Coturnix japonica: one gene and its partner. The protein of the gene in region 1 binds, or shares a complex with, the protein of each later gene. Links are inferred from orthologs where the notes say so. Each region holds a gene or a part of one and is shown on either strand. Other genes may lie near its edges. The genes, in order: RAB9A and NDE1.

What was found.
Region 2: the proteins of RAB9A (region 1) and NDE1 are in contact, whole or in part, in a crystal structure (PDB 7E1T), measured with the Homo sapiens proteins. The link is inferred for Coturnix japonica from reciprocal best matches to the Homo sapiens genes RAB9A and NDE1. Residues at the interface, in NP_001182257.1 of Homo sapiens: Ile40, Val42, Phe44, Asn46, Gln59, Trp61, Arg68, Phe69, Ser71, Leu72, Pro75, Phe76; in NP_001137451.1 of Homo sapiens: Asp99, Gln102, Thr103, Ala105, Ile106, Gln109, Leu110, Tyr113.

What each region holds. Positions count from the first base shown.
Region 1 is NC_029516.1:110,827,620-110,832,098, forward strand, and holds the start of RAB9A (ras-related protein Rab-9A), read right to left. Parts: upstream 2,878-4,479; 5' UTR 2,754-2,877; exon of another isoform or gene 2,740-2,753; intron 1-2,739. UniProt on the Homo sapiens protein: The small GTPases Rab are key regulators of intracellular membrane trafficking, from the formation of transport vesicles to their fusion with membranes.
Region 2 is NC_029529.1:7,391,018-7,394,826, reverse strand, and holds part of NDE1 (nuclear distribution protein nudE homolog 1), read right to left. Parts: intron 2,599-3,809; 5' UTR 2,550-2,598; coding exon 2,464-2,549; intron 2,101-2,463; coding exon 1,947-2,100; intron 136-1,946; coding exon 1-135. UniProt on the Homo sapiens protein: Required for centrosome duplication and formation and function of the mitotic spindle. Essential for the development of the cerebral cortex.

The DNA of each region.
Region 1 (4,479 bases):
ACAAAAATACCTGCCTTGCAGTAACAACATACACTTACTCCATCTATCGTTTTCTTCTTGAAGCATCTGACAACATTTATCACATTAACATAGAAAGAAAACCCATCTCCTGTTTTAGTTCACTAGGAGAGTGGTTAGGCCCTGGAACAGGCTGCCCAGGGAGGTTGTGGATGCCCCGTCCTTGGAGGTGTTCAAGGCCAGGTTGGACGGGACCCTGGGCAACCTGATCTAGTAAATGTGTATGTTTGGTGGCCCTGCCAGGCAGGGGGGTTGGAGCTACGTGATCCTTGAGGTCCCTTCCAACCCGGGTCATTCTGTGATTCTGTGATTCTATAACTCATTAAATACTGACAAATTGCTTCTCTGCAAAATGTCTGGAAAATTACAATAAAATAAAAAACCAACACAAAAACTTGCAGAGCTGCAAGGTCATGGTCAGAATCAAGAATGAAGTGCTGAAAACTAGGTTAACACTTGTTCTTTGTCCGATCCCTCAAATACTACAGCAGTTTTATCACCTTTTGCAGATCTAAAAGTCTCCAGAAAGCTGAAAAGAAAGCAACAGAAACAAACTTACTCCCTCTTCTCTCATTTAGCTACAGAATCCTTGTCCATGTACTTAAAGAGTACTGCCTTATTTACACTCCAGATAAGAAAGCAGTATAAGAACAATTTTCCAGTGGGTAAAGGGCCACAAAGCTTGCCTCACCTTGAAATGTTTTGCTTTAAAATTCAGAGAGGAACAGAGACGAAGTCTCCTCCAAGCTGTGCACTTCTCAATGCAATGCAGTTTTGACCACAACAGCCTTCAAACTGACCTTCCCCTCCAAAAAATACCCGTGTAAAACCTGTGGCTCAGAAATACCCTTTACAGTGGGGTTGTTGACATTTGACAGCAGCCCAATTCTCTGCAAAGCAGGCAGCCCTCCAGTCACATGGCCCGACCCACCGAGATCCCAATCACCCTGCAGGTCTTCCTTCCTTTATCTATGAGCAAACTACTGCAGTGTGATGGCAGCTTATGTTTTATGTCAGATAGATAACTTGATGACAAGAAAAAAAGTTCTTATCTGAAAACTGTCTCCAGTCTTCTGCAGCCTGGTCATAGTTTATCTAACATCAGAATAATCACAGAATGACCCGGGTTGGAAGGGACCTCAAGGATCATATAGTTCCAACCCCCCTGCCTGGCAGGGCCACCAAACATACACCTTTACTAGATCAGGTTACCCAGGGCCCCGTCCAACCTGGCCTTGAACACCTCCAAGGACGGGGCATCCACAACCTCCCAGGGCAGCCTGTTCCAGGGCCTAACCACTCTCCTAGTGAAGAACTTCCCCCTAACATCCAACCTAAATCTTCCCTCTTTTAACTTAAATCCATTTCCCCGTGTCCTGCTATTGTCAGCCCTTTTGAAGAGTTTACTCCCCTCCTGGGAGTAAGTTCCCTTCAGGTATTGAAAGGCTGCAATAACATTGAAGGTTATTCCTAATAATTGAACACAACACAAAATGGATTGACATTGAGCTGTCGTTACTCATTTACATGCCAAAAAGTTGTATTTTTCGTTTCTTTGTAAGGCTACTTGTAACTCCTGTGCAGTTCAGCAGTTGCCTGGAATGACACAAGACAATGGAAGAGGCAGCAGCCAAGAACAGGAATCCTTCAGCCTGCAAAACCCTTGGATCATGAAATCATCCCAGGCCTACTGCCAGAATCTCTTTAGTTACTGTAACTTACATCTAACCACAAAGTGGATCAGAAAAACATATCAGGAGAAACACCACATACGGACCCAGCCTCCACCTTCCACCTCATTACTCACTTCCAAGCTGAATGATCAAACTTAACAACACTGATTAAATTCAGAAAAAGAAAAAAAAGAAAAGAACAATTTTCAGAAACTCACAAGTAAGCATCTCCTAAGTACTTTAAGTACTATGTCATAATAATATCACTGACTTTCAGCCAGCTATAAAGCAACCTTCAGAGTAAGTTGGTCCAGCATCACTAGGAATTCACAGGATCACATTAACTGACCTGCAACCCAACTTGGTTACTGCTCCCTCTCTGTCAGTAGCTTACCAATCAGCTAAATACTATTTCTCATCTGTGCTCCTCTCGACAGTACATGACTCTCCCTTTTCCTTCTGAGATCCTTAGCAATAGCTGCCTCGGTCACTACCACAGAATCACAGAATGACCCGGGTTGGAAGGGACCTCAAGGATCATGTAGTTCCAACCCCCCTGCCTGGCAGGGCCACCAAACATACACATTTACTAGATCAGGATGCCCAGGGCCCCGTCCAACCTGGTCTTGAACACCTCCAAGGACGGGGCAACCGCATAAGCTGCTAACAAAACAAAGCAGACACACAAGAAAATCCCCCTAGAAGCCCATCACTCTCAACCACCCCACGCCGATAAACGGGAGACCAATGACAACAGCGGCCGTGTCGGTGCTGGGCCGCTTCCCAGGCGAGACGCCCGCAGTCACGGGATCCCGCTCACACCACCCGGTCCTCGCCGAGCCGGGCCCTCACCCACCGCCGCCGGGCACAGCCCGCAGCCCTCAGCCCGGCACTCACCAGAGTACAGCCACAACCGAACGGGTACAAGGGGAACAGCGAGACCCTCTGCACCCCAAAGCTGCCGGGGCAGGATCCGCACAACAAGCCGTCACCCACCCCGGACACCAGCCCCTACCGTGCCCTCCCCTCAGAGTCCCTCCGCACCCACCAAACAGCCACTACCTGCCCACGGATAGGAGCTGCCCACAGCACCGAGACACAGCTGCGCCGCCGGGCGCTGAGGGAAGGGAGAAACAACATGGCGGAACAGACGGGGGTGGGGGCGGGCCGGTGACGTGTGTCCCGCTTGGCTCTGCCCCCGGCAGGACAGGGGAGGGGAAGGGAGAGGAGGGGCGGTGAGACCCCGCCCTTCCAGGGGGTGCCCGCTGCCGTGGGTGGAGCAGGGGGAACCTGTCACTGGGGCAGCTCGGTGTGAAGGTCGAGTGGTTGTTTGAGAACATGACAGCAGGGAAGAAATCTAAAGAAATCGGCTACAGAGTATCTGTTACGCTCTTACAGCGTGTTATAGGAATGACGAAACGTGTAGAAATGTATTTAAGTGTATTTTGAAGAGGTCCCCGCATCATGAAGAGGAACGGGTGATTATAGGCTTAAGGGATGAGCCTTTGAAACACCACTTTGCCCCAGCAGCCGTCACATGCTTTCGATCACAAGGGTGAGGCAATCAGACTGGATCTGCCGCTTGCACAGTCATCTGGGGTTTGGATCAGATGTACTAAGGAATGGAAAACAAGATCTCTGTGTTATCGGAGGGAAATGCCTCCCACTGACAGCAGCACCCAGGCTAAAGGCAATGCGATGACACTACCGGCATTCTTACTTAACAAAGCTGGACTCTGAAAACGTTTAAAGACTTGTTTCCTGGGACCTGCTTTCATCTGCTTTTTTTCCCCCTCAGCTCCCCCTGCTACTGTTATTCATGTTTGGTACAAAAAGTGCTTGCTGTAGCACGCTGAGGAACCCCAGGAGCACTGCTGGTGATCATGGCACTCAAGGAAGACAGGCCTGTCACGCCTCAGCAGCAGGTTGAAGGAAATTACGCCTCAGCAGCAGGTTGAAGGAAATTACCACCTGAGATGTTGCGTGGCCATTTCACACCAAAATCACTCTGATTTCAGATCCGGATGGAAACATCGCTCCATAATGGCACCACAGGCCTAGCCCCCACCCCAGACCTGTGGCCCTGATTTGGCCTTGGCATGGCCTGTCCCTGTGGGCTGGCTGAATCCACTGGCTGGGCCTGCCTTGGCTGGATGCTGTGGGCCTTCTTCCTGAGGTCTCCATCCACATACCCTGCACTGCCAGCCCTGTAGCAGAATGAGGGTTGGTTTTATGCCAACATCTATCAACAGCAGAATGGCAAGCAGAGGACAGTGGGGGTTTTCATTCAAGGGAATGTTCTGCATCAGCAAAGCCCCCGTGCAGCACAGCTCGTGAATATTGCTTTTTACCATCCGTAATTGGCAAGGAGACTTTGTCCCATCCTGGCAAGTGATGACCTTGCTTCAATAAAACATGACTCTGTCACCTCCTGTCTGAATCAGGGCAATAAAAAATAAGGGGATATGAAGTCAGCTGCTTTTATTGCTCAGCTAATACCACACTGTGGCAAGCCAGGCCCCCCAAACAAGTATCAAAGTGCTCCTTATTTCCCAGACATTCAATGATCTGGGCCATTACACCCTGCGTACTCCTCAAAGGATCATAATTTAACATGTTTGTTCCTTATCAACAGTTAACAATGAGTAGCTAACCTCTTTTTGCTAGCATAGAACAAAACAAACAAAAATACAGTAAATGAACCTTTCCTTTTGTATGTACCATGGCAGTCTCAAATGAAATAAACAACAAAAGTGCACTGTTTCCCTTTTGTCTTAGAAAGGAAGGA
Region 2 (3,809 bases), on another chromosome or scaffold:
CAAGTCATCATTTGCTTGCTCAAGTTCTCGAATGTATTTCTGAAGTTGATCTTTGATAGCTTTTGTCTGTGCCAAGTCATCTTCCAGGGCAGAGATTTGCCTGTACCATTCTGAATGCTGCATTTCAAACTTTTCCTAGCCCAGGACAAATAAAACAGCATATCAGGGACTTGGTATTTTCTTAGTCCCTTTAAAGGCAAAATAAAATAAAATAAAATAAAATAAAATAAAATAAAATAAAATAAAATAAAATAAAATAAAATCCTTTAAAGCACTTAGAGTATATTTAGAAGAGACACCAGAGAGGAAGGAGCTGAACTTCACCAGCACAAACTTCTCTCCAGTTATCTCTTCCAGACATAGTTAGCACCACATGACAGCAAAAGCATCACACTCCACTACCTTGCCACTGGATCAGTTCAACATACCAGAGACTTTTCTGAAGCTGTGAGATTGCTAGATGAATAACATTTCTGAGATTCTTATCTGTTTAGAATTTAACACACTTGAAGTCACTGAAAACAAATCCACATACTGGAACTTGAAAACCATGGCACATAGTTTATCACAGCTGATAATCTGAAGAGAGCTGCTTGCATATAGCACGCAGACAAGGACAAAGGAAAGAGAAACCCATTTAGAATTCATTAATTTCTACTTAGTTAAGTGTGGTGACATGTTGCCATAATTCCTGATCCCTGAACGCACACGTGCACGTTGGCTTTAAGATCCCCCACAAGCTCTAAGAAGCAGATTACTTTTAGCTAGCTTTTCACACTCTTAAATAAGCCTTCCAAAGTATTATTTCCATTTCCAAAGTATTATTTCCATTTATACTCAAGGTAGCTTGAACTCCAGTTTCAGAGGAGTAGCAAGAAGGTAAACTCAAAGCTACAAACTGTGCAGGCCTTATAAAGTTCACTTGTGTTAACCTAGATGTAGACACCAATCCTTGATGGGTTCAGTTAACATTGCTGCTCAATAGCTTCATGAGTTTAATGCTTTGCTCTTGAATTGACTCAGATAAAAGACCAGAACTGCAAGGTTTGAGCCTTTGTTTTCAGCCAATTGTAATAAACCATCAGCTGACATGACCATCAATGGGTCCTCTGTTTCTTCACTGCAGGCTGTTACTGCAATCTTCAGGCTGCACGAATAACCAATTGTTAAAATGTTCATTTCAAGCAGAATATGTTTTTATAAACTTATCTACCGTGAAAATTAAGTAAGGTTTTCTGAAACGTTTGCTCTCTGTGTTGTAGAAGTTTTATGCCAGTTCCTACTATTTTCATTCCCAACTGCTTCAGCTCATTGACTGCCCTTTTTTCTCAGCTCTCACAGCAGAAGAAAGCAATCTATGCTCTCCTTAATCAAATGAAATGCAAGATTTTGTTGAATGGATAGACCTCCTCACTCATCAACTTCCATGGGTTTATGTGACTACAGGGGACAGAACAGGCCAATACTCCATGTAATAAGCAGAGCATTTAATATTGCTATGCCACTGATAAAGCAAGAACCAAGATCAGTGTGACAGAAAAAAGGCAGTTAAGTCAGGCACGGAGCTTTTATTGCCAAAAAGATTGTGGTTGGAGGTTAGAGGTGTGGAAATCACCAAGCTGGGGATGTGGAACAGAACATCTCTTTATTCCAGAGAGGTTAAATTAAAGACTCAAGGAAACAATAGCTGAGATAAACATACACTCAGCTCTGTTCATGTGTGCTCTCCACTCTGCCACAGACAATTTTCTCCTGTTTCAAACCTACACTGAAACACAGCCACATTGCTAATAGGGGTTCAGGAACAACACTGAGATATTTAGAACTCTTCCAAGCAGATTACAGATAGACGTTTCTCAATTTTTCCAAGCTGAATCTGCACACATCAGTCTCATTTACCTTCATGCTTAGGATACACAGTTACTGTAGGTATCATCCACTGTTACCTTAGCAGACTCCAGGTCCATCCGCAAACGATTGTTTTCTGAAAGAAGCTCTCTGTTTCTGGACTCTGTTTGCTGCAGCTGACTTTCCAGTTCAGCTTCATATTCTCGGCTCCCTTCTTGGAATTCACGCAGTTCCTCCTGTGTATTCTCAGCACTAGAACACAGTTCAGCAACAGAATTCACTCCCATGAATCAAAACAATTTCTTGTACACTGGAGGAAGAAAATACTACCTGCTAGCACAGAAAGCCCTCTCCAACACACATAGTCCTACTCAATCTAGAGAAGGGACCAAAAGCAGCAGTGCCATGGCAGCACTAATTCACTGCTCAAATAAGCATGAAGGACTCTGGGCTGATGTAGATTATGCTGAAACCTGCGGTGCTGCACTGCTTCTGCAGCTGCTCAACATAGTGCCACACAGGGAGGTAAATTCAAGGTAGTTCAGCTATTCATCTTGGCATGCACTGCTTATACATCCCATCAAACTGCTTCAAGGAATGAAACCACTGCCTTACCGCTGCTTGTATTTCACAGCCAACTCTTTCCAGTATCTGGCTTCCTCTTCAACTGAGCTGAAGCGATGCTCTTCCGAGTCTTCCATGGTAAGTCCTCAGAGTTTAACACTTTATTTCATTTTTTGCCCTGGAAAACTGAAGGATCAAGCGTTAAGAACTAATGCAGTGAATTAACTTTTTATTCATTTCACTTTTCAATGTACAGTGGTGCACCACTCCTCCCAGGAACGTGGTGCATGTCTGGAGACCAAACTAAAGACCAGCTTCAGCAGCACTCTGCTGGATAGAACAAAAACATGAAAATCTCTACTGAATCAACACAGTCTTTTCTCCAGGTTTCCCAAGGTTGCTGCACACCACATTGCCCACAGCAAGCATCTTCCCTCTGACTACACAGTACAGAAGGCCAAATGTCAAACTTCAGCTACAGCTGCGCCAATGCACACAGAACACAGGTGATAAAGATCTCAGAAGCACCTCCAAATTCAGTTTGACTTCATCAGCCTTAGAGAAACACTGAACAAGAAACTTCCATGAGACACGAAGGTACTCAGGATTCCTCTGTTAACACTTGCAGGAGCACTTAAGATTCTTATGGACATACCTGCTGAACATGAGAAAAACAAAAAACAAAAAACACCTCTCATTACAGTAAAAAAAACTACTTGACTTAAAACCTGAGATATCAGAATGCAGATGTGGCTGATGGGCACAACATATTTGGATACATCAGAGAGCCATGGGAGAAGGGAATACCAGAAATTCCTAGGGAAAAGATGCTAAGAGCTCCACAGAGGTTCTAGTGGGATAGCATCTGGTTAGACTAGATGTACAGATAGATGCAGCAACCTAGTGAGCAATCCAGACCAGCCAGCAGTCCTTGTGCAAGCATAAGCACAGGTACACGTCATAGTCCCAAAAAGGAATGACACATACAAGAGCCATGTGGAAATTAAGCACCTTAAGTTGGTAACTCCTGCTTGAAATCTAATTAGGTACTATAATTAAATGCCTTCTGATGTGCATAATGTGCTCAAATAAACAGGTAACTAGCAAGTATCATTTTATATGAGGTAGTCTTGACAAGGGAGAAATATCAGTCATAAAGCTCTGGATAATTTGCCAAGGGCAACCCTAAGTGAGGCAAAGATTCCAAAGACATTACAAATTTAATGGACACCTCAGCAGATTGAGGATAGGGAGTCAATCAGGTCATGGCAACAGTTCTTCCAGCTAATTCTACACCTATGGAAAAAAAAATCATAACCCATATTCACACGTACTTCTCTGTAAAACCACCTGGTTTAGGCAGTCAATTTTCTGGTGCATCTCCCAAGACAAACCTG